2 linked regions of the Mytilus edulis genome follow. The protein of the gene in region 1 interacts with the protein of each later gene in a pairwise test. Links are inferred from orthologs where the notes say so. Each region holds a gene or a part of one and is shown in the gene's direction. Other genes may lie near its edges.

Region 1 (7,229 bases):
GCCTTTGATCAATTTTATGACGAGACACTAGACCTAATCTAATTTGGCACCCAGTTTCTCGTGCAACACATCATAAACGGCGAGACTTCAGCGTGTCTAATGGGTCATATGCACAACCATGTCAGAAGTCTCAACTATGGACACCGTGGAAAAGTGATGTTTTTTACTCAACGTTTGATAAAGTTGAATATCATTGATTCACATTATACGAAAACCCACATCTACCGAATACAGAAGAAGTTGTCAAAGATCTGCAAAACTATACCACCTGTTCAAAATGTACTGAGGGTCGGCCGCCACCAATCAAGGAGACGATATTAAACAACAACAAAAAACGATCAGACACAGAGTACAATAAACATACTAAATTTAAAAGGGAAAGACATACATCTTCATTTGACATCCACGCAAAAAGAACTCTGGTGTAACAAACCATACAGTAAATGTTGTCTAATGACAATCGTATCACATCTCCCTATTTAAAAATGTATGTCCAGATGCATTCAGTTACATTTCAGGCATACATAGACATTGAAAAAGGACAAAATTATACGATCAGATCAGGGGTTTTTTTAGTTTAGTTTAAATATATCTTATTTGTTTAAAGAAAAATGAATCAGACACAAGTAAAACATACTTATAAAGTCTTCTTCACAATACAATATATATATAATAATACAAATTGAACGTGAGTATTCATTATATGATAACAAACAACTTAAATATTTCTAGACTATACTGAAAAAAGGAGAGAACGATAGAGATTAGGAAAATGATAATGATGATGATGTGCGTTTTACATATGATACTATACTACGAGGAATCTTTTTGATATATTTTGAAATTGAATACTTGTTTAACAATTTGCACATTTTGGTCATAGGACAGAGTTTCTTTTCCAAAACCCAATAGTTTTTAGTCCAAATCGCAGCCTTCGGGAAGCCAGCTGAGACTATTAAACAGAGTATATAGCCCTTTTATTAACTGATTAAGATATAGAAAGGACAATCAAAGAAATAATGGTACATGTCCTCAATATCCAAACCACATTTACATTTTGGATCACATATGATGTTAGCTCTAAACAAGTCACAATTCAATTTAAAAGGATGCCGAACATCTAAATTGTATTAAGATTATATTCAATTTTCTTGGACCATATAAATAATGTTGAGATATATTGTCATTTCGAATGTCGTGGTTTGTAAATTCTACTTGAATTTTGATAACGAGTCTACATTTTGTTTGTTCGCAAGGGATCTTGTATCGGTAGACGCTTCAATGTGTGGCCAGACATCAAAAGCGTTTTCTTCTGTGAGAGCAGAATCGGGAACAACAGGACTTTGCAAGAAATACGATTGCCGGAGAGTTGCATCGTAAAAATAAACAACGAATAATCTCCTGTTCAAACCAAAAAGGTAAAAGAAAAGGCGAGATAAGCCCCAGTCCATACTCCCAATCAAAGAAGTATAAAGGGCAAGGTGAAGTCCCCTGTACAACAAAAAGATCAATTTGCCAGCATAGACTCATATTAGTATAGTTTTCTTGGTGTTATCAGCTGGATGTAAACATGCAGAATTTTACAACAGTTTTGAAAATTCATACACCCTGAGGCCCTGCCCTAACTCGACGATAAGCTTTATAATGTGAATTGAAGCTGATATTTAACAATTTCAATATGCAGGCAACCTGATAATTTGTATTAAGTAAGTTAACGTTAGCCAATGAAACGGTCTTAGGGCGCGAGAAAAGACCATGCAGCATATAACTGTCGAAGAACCAATTTTATACATCATGGCAAATGAAAACGATAAGATTTTTTCAATAATGTCTTAGATTGGAGTCTAAATTATCCTGTTTACCGAAACAGTGTGAAGTTGTTCAGATTTTCACTCAAGAACAACAAAACATGTCATATTCCCTATTTTGAACTAGTCTGGATTTGTATTTAGTGGCGGACGGTGCATAAACAGCATCAGGCGCTCTGCTTATCGACGCACCATGCAGTCTCCATTGCGTTGGTGTTTTTTTTTATTCTGTTGGTCATGGTTGGTATTTTCAAAATAGATTAATGGCATTAATGATTTGAACAGCGATTACTACAGTTGTCTCTTCAAATTATACAAGATAATTTTCCCTGTCAATTTTCAATCCATACAAATTTCGGAAGTGGCCTCAGTTTTATCTCGGTGGTGTCCGAGGATAATATTTGTTTGAACGTATATATAACTAGACGACGGGCAACTGATAGACGTCAAATGATGATAAAGGCTCATATTCGATATTTTGGGCCATAAAGTCGTTCTTTTGAGCCACTTAGTCAATAAAAAGTGAAGCGTGCATTAGACGTAAGCACATCTATAAAAACAATTACAGATGACACGGAAATGCCTTCACCAACAAGCAAAACCAATACTGTATATGGTTATCATTTAATACATGAAAAGCCAAATATAATAACAATATCGTTATCATTCTTTTTTTAAAGTTATTTAAAGCCAAGTTCAATGAAATAAATTTAGAAAAATATTACTGCATGTACCATGATAATATTATTTTTCAAGTAAAATCCATCAAATGTGTACTAAAAAGTTCCAATATCGTTTTGGCGATACTTTCTTCCTTATGTCACAAAAGCCACTATGAATAGATTGAAATTCAGGCGCCGGGCTCCCTATACGCTAACACGCAGTTGCGTGCACATCGATTCGGCATGCTATGTTGTTACTTTTTTTAATTGATGAAAGACATTAAATACCATCAAATAACGGCATTAGGTTTCAAAATGAAAGTTATATTGGAGAGTATGACAAAATCGGACAGTAACTTGTATCTTTTACAAGATTTGAATTTGTAATACTTATTACTCAGTCTAAGACATGTAGTTTTGGAGCACATTTTACAGTGTACGGTTCATCAGTTTGGAATGAGATTTACCAATCGGCAATAGAATTATCAGAACACTTCGATATCGTTGAAAATATGCCGAGGCCATGTGCGTTCATAGACCATATGATAAGGGAACTGCAGAGTGGAGTCGCGTCTAGTATTACCAGAAAATCTTCTTTGCGTTGTATCTGCTTCATCGTGTTGTAGGAAATATATCAAACGAACAAATCTCAACATTGTCTGGGACATACGAAACTGACCTGGCATGTAGTTTTGACGAATTCAATTGGGAGGTCGCTCGATGCCGAACACGTACGCTGGTTTATAACATCTCGCGAGTGCTTCCACGGAGATCTATCAGTGTACTACATATATTGAAAACAAATGTACGATCAACAATGAACAACGACAGTTACTAGCATTACTGCATATTCATCGGGATTTCAGTGTAAATATTGACAAAGTAATAGAGAAGTTTGTTTCTGTCTAGACCCGAAGAGCCGATTTTGAACAATTTTGAGTAAATTCTGTATCTCAAATATGTCGGTTGTTTATGTATTACTCTATTCGGAAGATTTATTAATAGTTTTACATTCATAATTTTTTTATAAGTCCTATCTACATATAGCTCCTCTTTTAACCGTCCTATGACCGAGAACCGAAAAAATAAATTTCTTCATAAAAGGGTCCCAAAAAGTTTTCGACTCGCTCCGCTCGGCGGTACTTCCTAGGCTTGCACATCGTTTCATTCTAGCTACGTCCCCGGAAAATATGAATTCGCTCCATTATTAATTTGCACAACTTCTCGGTATTCAAGTGTTATGAGTTTTAATGTTCCCTTTGTAAATATCTAACGTTGTGAATCAAAGTAAACTATTTCTGGGACATAATAAAGGTATACTTGTCTATTCCCAGACTATACACGGTTGTGACAATTCTTAATTAAGGGAAGTTGAAATACTGCTGTCCACGTAGATTACAATGAAGAAGAAAAAATATAATAAGACGGCCGTAAATGAATTGGAAAATGTATTTTGATAAAAATAGCAAATCCAAGTGTGAATCGGGCCACCGTGACATGTTTGACGAAAACTTAAACACAGGGACTTTAGAATTTTAATAATTAACTTTAAAACTTTTTTGAATCAGAATCTTTCATGAAAACAAGGGTTTGAAAAACTAATGATGATATATTGGTGTATGCACAGAAAATAAACGAAAACTAAATAATACAATGCTTGTCAATGAACAATGAACCGTATATATTAAATACAATTATCACGTGGTACTGTTATCCAATCGTTTTCTGTAATTCTTACATAGTCAGGATTGTCATTAAATGGTGTATTGAGAGGTCTAAGGTGTTATCAAAGTGAAACAGTACATGAATTTTATACATATTGGAAATGTATTTTTCGCGACATAAACTGTGGATTTTATCAAATTAATTCAATGTATTTTCAATTAGTAACAAATCCCAGGTGAACAGGAAAAACAGGAGTAAATCAGGTTTTTATCATCTGTGTATTGCCTTGTGAATTAGGTCACGTGTGTTATTGATACAAAATAGTGAAGATGATGGAAATAGAACCTGTTATGTCGGTAGATAATACTTCTCTGACACAAGTAAGTTTGCTATTGTAGTTATTAATGGAAATAATTTCTTTATATATATTAATCCAAGGGTTCATTACATTTTCACTGGGAATTTGTGTGATCTTGTGTGACCCAGTTTTGTAAAATGTCAATTGAAATATAGTGATGACCGGTGTGCCATATTATACTTTATTTTTAGACAATTTTTTTATATCATCAATTTTTTGGATTTTTGAAATATAAATGGGAGGGAAATGAAGCGTAAAGGTCATTAGAGGCTCTGTATTTTAATCAATTTCTCGGTTCACCTGTTTGTTACCCGGAAACAAATTAGTAAAGGTGAGCGGAAGTTGTCCTTCGGAGTATCTCGAACTTTTTATTGTTACAAATAAAAATCTGGAGGATTCCGAACTACTTGACGTCATTTTCTAATTCGCTGAATCACATTTGTTATGAAGATTCTAGAAGAAACAGAGTGTTGCACGAATTTTAGTTGAAATCTCGCACAATATCGATACAAACATATATCAATACAATCCAGACTACACAATTTATACACTTATAACATCAAACTTTAACGAAACTGGTCTATTTTCTCCCTGTAGTAGCTGTCAGTGTCATGGCAGCCGCGTGCGCTCCCTGTTAAAAATGGGAACAAAGGCATTGTTGTTATTAGCTTTATTTAAAAACTAATAATCATTTGAGATGTTTACCAAATTATAAGAAATTATGGATTAGCAATTTTCACCAGCTTATTGATAAAAATTCACAAAGTGAAGGACAAGAAACCGAAAAAAACCATTGTACACAACTTTTGAAAGGAATTCCACAAAGTACTTCCTGTTGTATCGACAAGATGCTTAAAGACTACTTTGTTGATGGACTTGTGCAAATTGCCATAGTTCTGAGTTTGTTGAGGACTGACTTGAATAACTACATGAACATTCACTATGTAAATTACCCAGAAGTGCAAGAAATTATTCTAGGATCATCAGCTGCATTAGCTCCAACTAACTTCATCAATAACAACATCAATTCTTTCTATGGCAGTGGTAATCCTAAATCAATTTACAGTGATTTGACATATCAAAATCTTATTCAAGATTTACGTTCTTTAAGGCGTTTTTCTGTTTGGCAAAGATCTCATTCAGCTCAACAAATAGAAACATTTCTGGTTGGTTTGAATAATTTACCAGAAATTGCAAGAGCACCAGCTGTAGAGCAAAACAACAATAATAATGTACAGTCAGAAACAAACACTGATGACCAAAGTGATGTTGAATCAAGCAACAACAATCAGAACTTAGATAGCAATGATAATGTGCAATATGAAGAAGTTGTTCTTGGTGTTGACAGTACATGTAGCACAAGTAGTTCTGTCTCATCCAGTGTAAATAGTCAATATGACTTTCAGTTTGATGGTCTGTCAAGGGAGGTATGAACAGTTCTTTAAAAATAGATTTTCTAAGCATTATGTACATTTCCTTCTGAATACCTATACTCCTTGCATTTTTCATCTTATAAAAAAACCATGTACACTGTGATCTCCCCAGGCCGATATGAAGCTGAGGTGCCGCAGCGCCTTCATAATATTTTTGTATATCCTGCAGCGTCTTAATTGGCCACTGTCCCTTGATACTTGATCCCGCAGCGTGTATATATTCACATTTTCATAATAAATGTTTGTTAAAATTGTCAAGTTGCTGATCATCGTTGAGAGGTCGGTCAGTGTTACGCAATATCTGTTAATTAGTTTTACCTGAGCCATGCTAATCTCAGCCTTATTGGACTCTTTATCATGTAATAGCGTAAATTATCATCAAGAAAATAGATATTTTTAGAAGAAAATTTAAAAATTTAAAAACTTCAGTGCAGAAAGAAATAGATGACCATAGATCGCAAATACATTGTATTTACACATTGTGTGTGTGATTACTTGACCGTTTAAATAATGATTTTTTTCATTGGTCGAGAAGAAGAATCTTTTTAAACACGACCAAAGAACGTGTTCAATACATGTGATAAATTTGAATACACATTTCTAAAGATATTTACGATGAAAATTATGAATGAGAGTATTTTTAGTTGAAAAAATTTAAATAAACTTTGATTAACGATAACAAGGAGTGATTTATTTTAATTGAAAGTGAAAAATGTTGCTTGCAAGGTAAATTCGTCTCAAACTGTCATATTTTTAGAAAGAAAATAATCTTTGAACATCAATCGTGAATCCGTGCGGGAAATATGTGACAATCAACACGGGTACGGAATTGCCGCAGCTTCTGTATAATGTCACCAGTAAATACTTTGAATGGTCTTAACTTTAACGAAGTTTCATTTATATCTACCTGTCAAAGATAGGTTTTAACAATAATGCACACAGAAGCGAAAATAAATGTCAAACTACGGAAAATGGTCAGCTGTTCATTAAAATATTTTTGTTTTAAAAAGTTGTATACCAAATATCTTAACCATATTCGATTTTATTAATTCTGAATGAACATGCTCTCTGCAAATAACAAAGGGGTGAATTCTAAGCAAAAGGCAGATGATGAAAGTAGATGTATTTTTTCAGACCAATGACTTCTAATGAAAAGGGAAATACACCTCTGATCCGTCTACACTCAGCTGTCAGTATACGCAGATATTGTTGCTTGCCCTAATCCCAACCGAGCTAAAGTTTTAGCAAGTGATAAAAGCAAGCACCATGTTTCTGGTTTCAGTGACAAGTCACTGACAGAGTT
Region 2 (7,124 bases), on another chromosome or scaffold:
TTTTAAATTATACAAACCTATAATTGGAAAACAATCTCAGAATAAAACAGAGAATTTGTTCCTTGTTCACAGAATTTTTACTTTTTTCTATGAGGAAGACTTTTAAGACCACAATTTTTAATCAACTTTGCAAAGTTGTTAAATAAGAAGATGTTCATAGTGACTGTTATATTTATTACATTAGATGTCGACAGTTTAAGTCATGTGTTGTTAGTCACCATATTTGTTTGACTGTGCGACTTGTACATTACAAGTTGTCTCCCTTATGAAGATTGATAGCAATTTGACTTCGCTATGAAGTAAGTCAGTTGTTAAGACTTCTTAAGCGACTTAAATCATCATTTCCCCAGCATGATTATGGCCTGTGTTTATAATAATATTTCATACTTACGTTTGAATTTTTTTTGTAGATGTCTGATTTTGAAAGCTGTTCTGTAAGCAGCATACTTTATACGACTGTAATCTCCTGTAAAACATTTGGGTATGCTCTTAATAAACATATCAAATTTCCATCAATAAATCTAATTTTTAAAACTAATATGTTATGTCTGCAATTACTACGTACTGTCAGTGTAAAATTGTAAAGTTGTTTATCAAAATCCAACTTTACTCATCAGTAAAATAAAGGAACATTTTTTTTAAGTTTGATATTTGTTCTGTAGGTGCTACTACTTGATCTTGAAGATTATTTCTAAGATTTAAAACTTTCCAAGAAGAACTATTATCAAAGAATGTATATACATGTGAATGTTTGTAATATTGAATACTGTAAACTCAGAAAAGTTTTTATTATTGGGAAAATGCAACAGAGTTGTAAACGCAATTATTTAAACATGCATTTTGAAATATTTGATATGAATTAAACTAGATTTTTCTAAAAATTGAAAAAAGTAAAAAAAAGCAATAATAAATGCATGCATTAATTTCTGAATTTACAGATGCAAAATGTAATTTCAAAACTTTGCTGTGAATTCTGTCATTTGGTTATAATAAATATGATAAAGCTTCTCTTCAAGCTTCATTAAACTTTTACTAACAATTATCATGTTACATCGTCAGATTGAATAAAGTGGTAAAGAAAGATGTTTGCAGTTTAATAAAAGTATAATGATAACCACATCGCTGTGTATTGATTCTGTTATGCAATGTGCAGAAAAAATGGTGTTAGTTCATTGATCATTATATGTTCTATCTATAAAATTTTACCCAATTCTTCCATTGTCTTCAACAAGTATGGATGGTCCCATGTTGTTCTTTGTAATTTGTGACTGTAAATAAATGATTTATAGTTTTAAAACAGTTATATATCTACATCACATGCTTAGACACTAAAATATATGCTAAAACAAAGTTTAGGGGGTTTGACAAGGGGGCACCATTGGCTACTTCCCACTTTTTAGTTAAACCTTTCTCATCCCAGATCCCACTTTTCTACCACCTTTAACTTATATCTCCACTTTTTTACCCTCATTTCAAAATCCTGTCATCTCCTTCATAGTATAAATCACTAGAGAATTAATTTATAATTGGTAATAAAAAATCTGGTTATTGTGGTAAAACAGAAGTTAGTACCATCCCATATAATAACTATAAATTAAACTTGAAACTTAAGTTGAAAGGCAATGAATAAATGTCAAATACAAACTCTTTGAAGATTGAAGTTTTTGCAGTTCCCTTGAATAGAAATGCACTCATCATATTTATGATTCATATATGAAGACTGTTTACTATGCAATTCTGAAGAAAAAAGATTGTGACAATATTTTATGCAAACACATGCATGTAACATTGCTCTCAGATTAGATTTGTACCTTACAATAGATTATTATTTTCTGACCTGTAACTTTATACAAAAGTTAACATGTGAAAAATGAATACTTGACCGACTATCATTGGCATGCTAAAATTATTTGATGATACTTTCGGAGCTTAAATAACAAGTCTATCATATTACCAGATATAGTATGGAACACCGGTTTTTGTCTCTGTTCTCTCCCAACCATCCACAATTCTTTCTGTAAACAAAAAACAAAATAAACTGAACATGCTGGAAATATACTGCCATTTTTTTTTTTAAAATAAGTACAAATGCATGATGATTAAAGAAAATGTAGATAAATTTGATGTTTTTTTTTTTTAAATATCATTAATAAAAAAGATAAGATATATTTAATTTGGTAGACAGCCATGCAAAATCCTCATGAATAATCAAGGATATTTTTTGAAAATTGAAAAAGCTACATACATGCTTATTAAAACTTTACTACCGTGAGCTAATCAACAGTCATAACTTGTTAAAAAAAATTTGTATATATCTGATTACTTTTAGGTATAATAAGTAAAACAAACAAAACAACCTCTGGGAGCTCATCAGGTACATGCATCACCAGATGTGTTTTTGTCTTTTCAAATTCTTATTATGAACTTTGTTAGTTTTCTCTTTTGAATTGTTTTACATTGTCTTATCAGGGCCTTTTATAGCTGACTATGCGGTATGGACTTTGCTCATTGTTGAAGGCCGTACAGTGACCTATAGTTGTTAATGTCTGTGTCATTTTGGTCTTTTGTGGGTAGTTGTCTCATTGGCAATCATACCACATCTTCTTTTTTATATTTGACATAATGTTGTATTCACTTCTATTAAGAGTAAGCCTTTGTTGCTAAGATTTGACACTTCCAAGTTAGATTGATTGATTGCTGTTTAATGTACTAGTCTTCAGCACTATTTTACATTTTCGTGAAGGTTAGTTTTTGATAGTTGAGGAAGCCAGAGTACTTGAGAAAACATTTACCCTTTGAAAGGAAAACTCACAATTCTTGTTAATGAAGAGAGGAGTAAAGTGCATGCACCTGCTATGTGCAGGATTCTACATGAACCTCACCACCTCTCAGGCTAGTTCAACCCTCTTGCTGCCAGAAGGACACATGTGTACACACAGACTGTGCCGGAGGGACACATATGTCCTTGTTTTAATTTTCACAAACTTCTCCTCATAGCTGTATCTTTTTCAAAGACCAAAGATTAAACCATGTTATATTTTTAATCAATGTGTACTAAATGTAACGGTCATGTATCAAATTATGTCATTGTCATGATTGTTGTACATCTAATGTCATAAACATTGAGCTGCTGTACATTCTTTTATCTAACACACAAAATGCAACCTTGATAAACAACTGGCAGCAAGAGGGTAAAGTAGTTATGTTGAACAGAAGTACGATTGCTCAAACCACTCGGCCACCTAAGTTCCACAATTTTTTTCTAGTAATAAAAAAATTAAAATAAGGAAATAATCTTCCAAAAATCAAGTTAATGGTTTCTTTACACCTTATTGTTATTTGTTTGCCATAACTGGACATATCACAGGATCCTGTAAAAATTTGATGGAACAATAAAAAAATGTTTGTCACAACAAAGGAAATGTGATTTTTGTATGGACTCCATAGATCTGGCAATTACAAAATATTTGTTTTACATTCCCTATATGACGAAGTCAGCTAATGTGCGATATCACCAGCTGCTCAGACACCTTGTTCTCCACTGTAATTTAGTTAGATCACAAATTTATGTTGGCCTGTAGAGTGTGGGGGTATGGCAAACAGTCTGCACCAAAAACTTTTTCAGCTACTAGTCCGAAGACCAATATTCTGACATTTTTCTTATTTGTCCAAACAAAGTTTTACAAAAACTCACTAGTCTGAATAAAATTTTACTAGTGGCTTACCATGCAGACTGGGCAAAAGGAAATTTACAAGCCTTAGGGTGCTAGGTCTGTATTTGAGAGTGGAGACTGGTATTCAATCATGGACCCTCAAGGACAAGGGGCATACACTTAAAATTAATTTGACAATGATTATCATACTGAAACACAAACACAGTGATACATAACAAACTACAAGTTTGAGAACATCCATCTGCTTGTTTTTGCAGTTTAGTGTTGTCAACTTCAAATTTGAAATCAAAAGCAATACCATAAATATCAACAGATTCCATTTTTAAGGCACAGCAGCTGTTAGGGTGAATCATTTGACAGTTTTTGTAAACATTTTCACTTTTTCTGATTATTTTAAACTTAAAACAGTCACAAAGGCGCTTTATTAGTAAACACGTTATTAGAAGCGTACTTGGGACCTAGAATGTTGACACAGTAATCGACTTCCGGTTAGGAATTTTAGATCAGCAACATATCGAAGATTCTTGATTATACTAATCTAGACAACAGTTAGAGAGAAAATGGACTGACAATTAAGATAAATATGTGGTAAGATATTGAATCTCATATTCATCCTTGTAAATTTTGTTCTGCATCCTTAGACCTAACCACTAAAACTCATTCAGTAAAACTAAAACAGTAAAAGGGATGGTAAACTGGTAAACCTCACTATAAATTTCTGTAGAATTTTCATGCAATTAAAAAGTCTAAAGACTAAACGCTTGATTCATATCTGCATCTGTACGAGTAGGTTGTTGATACCAATACTGTCTTTAAAACTAAGTTAGAGAGAGCGAAGTCGATTTATTGATGGCGCGTGAGGTCAGTTTGAAGCTCTCAAGGTTTGATGCGGGCACTACAGTGTTTTCAAATACAGGGGCTTGTTTAGTGGGGTAGACAAGGTTTCTTCTTCTTCTTCTTCTTCCAAATACTGCCCACATTCAAAGTGATGAATATTCTGGCAAGTTTACTGTCAATGGCTGTTGCTATCTTACTTAAAACAATTTATATTTTAAAGATAACGAATGCAGTTGACAGTAAAAAGTGTGCAGTTGACAGTAAAACCTGGTCTGACCCACTATTTTAAAACAAGCACCTTGGTACCAAGCACCTGTGCTTCAAGCTGGTTCCACTAGATCACTTTTTTAACATTGTTGTGTTTTACATGTTGGTATTTCAACACATTGTTTTTAATTGTTTTCCATAATATTTGTTGTCTGATAATTGTCAAAATTTCTTGGCAGTGTTTCTAGGACATGCTTTTTCATGTTTTTTAAACATTTGTCTTGTTCTAACTTTAGAACTTTACCTTAAACAGGGCAAAATATTTTCTTTCATGACCATACATTTGTAGACTTATTTTTCACATCATTTCTCAAGTTTTGATCAAATTTGCATTACTGGATCCCAGTTTCCTTCAGCTTATAACAACATGTACAAGGTCAGTGTGCTTTATTTAGGGATGGATATATTGTGCAATTTAGAATTTTTTATACACAAATGCAATTTACAGATAACTTTTGAAATTGTGCATTTTTCAGTACAATGACGTCATTTACACTGCACACAGAATTATTTTTATAAAGAAACACCAACTTTTTATTGATATCTTGAGATACAGGAGATTCCAATTTCATTATTATGAATGAACTCCCCCGTTGAACAAAATGCTGGATGCAACATTCATACTGCCACTACGTCCAAAGAATGTACAAATGTACATTGTATGGGCCATACCTTGAAAAGATGTAACAATGAAATACATTTTTAATACCTGTTGCTTTGTTATATTTTAAGTTATCCCCACAATGGAATAAATTCTTTGATAAAATTGAGAATGGAAATGGGAAATATGTCAAAGAGACAATAACCCGACCAAAGAGAATATAACAGCCGAAGGCTACCAACGGGTCTTAAAGTATGAACGAAACAACCTTACTTGTAATGTATGAACAATATGTCCCAACTCTTATGGAATATGTGGCACATCTTATGGATGATATGGAAGTATGGCAGTCACATCTGGAAAGCCTTGTACCCAAGGTCATTTGTGGAAATATGGGAAATTGTGATGTGGAGATATTTGCTTCGTGATGCTAAATACCCCATATCATTTAAATTGTGCTTTAATAAAATAACATTAACAATAAATAGTTTATACCATTTGTTGCTTATTGCACTAAAGTAATGTGACTTGAAGAATGTCAAAAACTATTTTAGTGTCATCTGATGTCAGCAATAGAGAAAACAGGGCACAGCGTTATAAAAAAATCCTAAAGGATAACTTTGATTCCGAGGATCAGTACATCTCAGTTTAATGTTTATTTTTAAGTTTTGCCCTCTGTGTCATGGTCCAATTAATTTGCAATGTTGAGGTCCATCATTCTTTTTCTAAATAAGAATTATCTTTCTGGCAGGCAAAACATATCACTGAATTATCAGTTTATTTTTGAAACTTAAATATTTATAATGTCATATATCATGTACATGTATGTACCTTGTATATTAGTAATTGAGATAGCAAAGACTTGCTTGCCTCTTATATAAATAAGGACGTTAGTTTTCTCGTTTGAATTGTTTTACATTGTCATTTCGGGGCCTTTTATAGCTAACTATGCAGTATGCAGTATGGGCTTTGCTCATTGTTGAAGGCCGTACAGTGACCTATAGTTAATCATTTCTTCGTCATTTTGGTCTCTTGTGGAGATTTTTCTCCTTGGCAATCATACCACATCTTTTTTTTTTTATATTAATTATCATGTATTATATATATAGAACCAAGCAATTTCTGTTTCTTTAGAATTTTGATAAAAATTACAAAGAAAAAGTGAAAAATTTGAAACTTTTATATACATTTTGTACTACACTGTACATTTAAAATGGTTTGAATCAAAGATGTGTAAGCAACAATTATATTCCTTTGCATTTGTCAAGAAAAAATGCAAGAAGATACAAGGATATTTCAGGAATAAGTTTCATGCATGATAATGATGATTATGATACATATGTCAAAATGTATGTGGATATGAAAACATAGAATTCTTTATCACTTTTACCTTCTTAGAATAAGGCCCTGATTCACCACTTTGTTTTATATTTTTTGCTTTGAGGTATTTTGTAAAATTTTTATTTATTTTTTTAAACAATTGTATGAGGTTGGTACAAACTATTTGTGTTTTTATGCCCCCACTGCAGCAGAGGGGCATTAAGTGATACCCTTTTCTGTCCATATGTACGTCCCAAAAATATCAAAATTTAGTTGGTTATCAACCAAATATTATTTAATAAACTTTTTCACAATGCTTAGCTTATTAACATAAAACACAGATCAAGTTCAAATTTGGGTTGGATCTCTTTTCTTGTTCTGCATTTATGTCCCTTTATAACGTGATATGCAGTTGGAGCATCATC

What was found. The genes of interacting proteins can lie anywhere in the genome.
Region 2: the proteins of nuclear factor erythroid 2-related factor 2-like (region 1) and kelch-like ECH-associated protein 1 interact in binary tests that used the Homo sapiens proteins (3 or more experiments, as listed by UniProt). The link is inferred for Mytilus edulis from reciprocal best matches to the Homo sapiens genes NFE2L1 and KEAP1.

Annotation. Positions count from the first base shown.
Region 1 is NC_092345.1:73,244,211-73,251,439, reverse strand, and holds the start of nuclear factor erythroid 2-related factor 2-like, read left to right. Parts: upstream 1-4,214; 5' UTR 4,215-4,464; coding exon of another isoform or gene 4,465-4,515; 5' UTR 4,516-5,341; coding exon 5,342-5,920; intron 5,921-7,229.
Region 2 is NC_092344.1:32,807,655-32,814,778, reverse strand, and holds the start of kelch-like ECH-associated protein 1, read left to right. Parts: upstream 1-4,112; 5' UTR 4,113-4,262; intron 4,263-7,124. Other genes in the region: dystrophin-like, read right to left, coding at 392-466, 1,207-1,268, 1,955-2,015, 3,973-4,027. UniProt on the Homo sapiens protein: Substrate-specific adapter of a BCR (BTB-CUL3-RBX1) E3 ubiquitin ligase complex that regulates the response to oxidative stress by targeting NFE2L2/NRF2 for ubiquitination.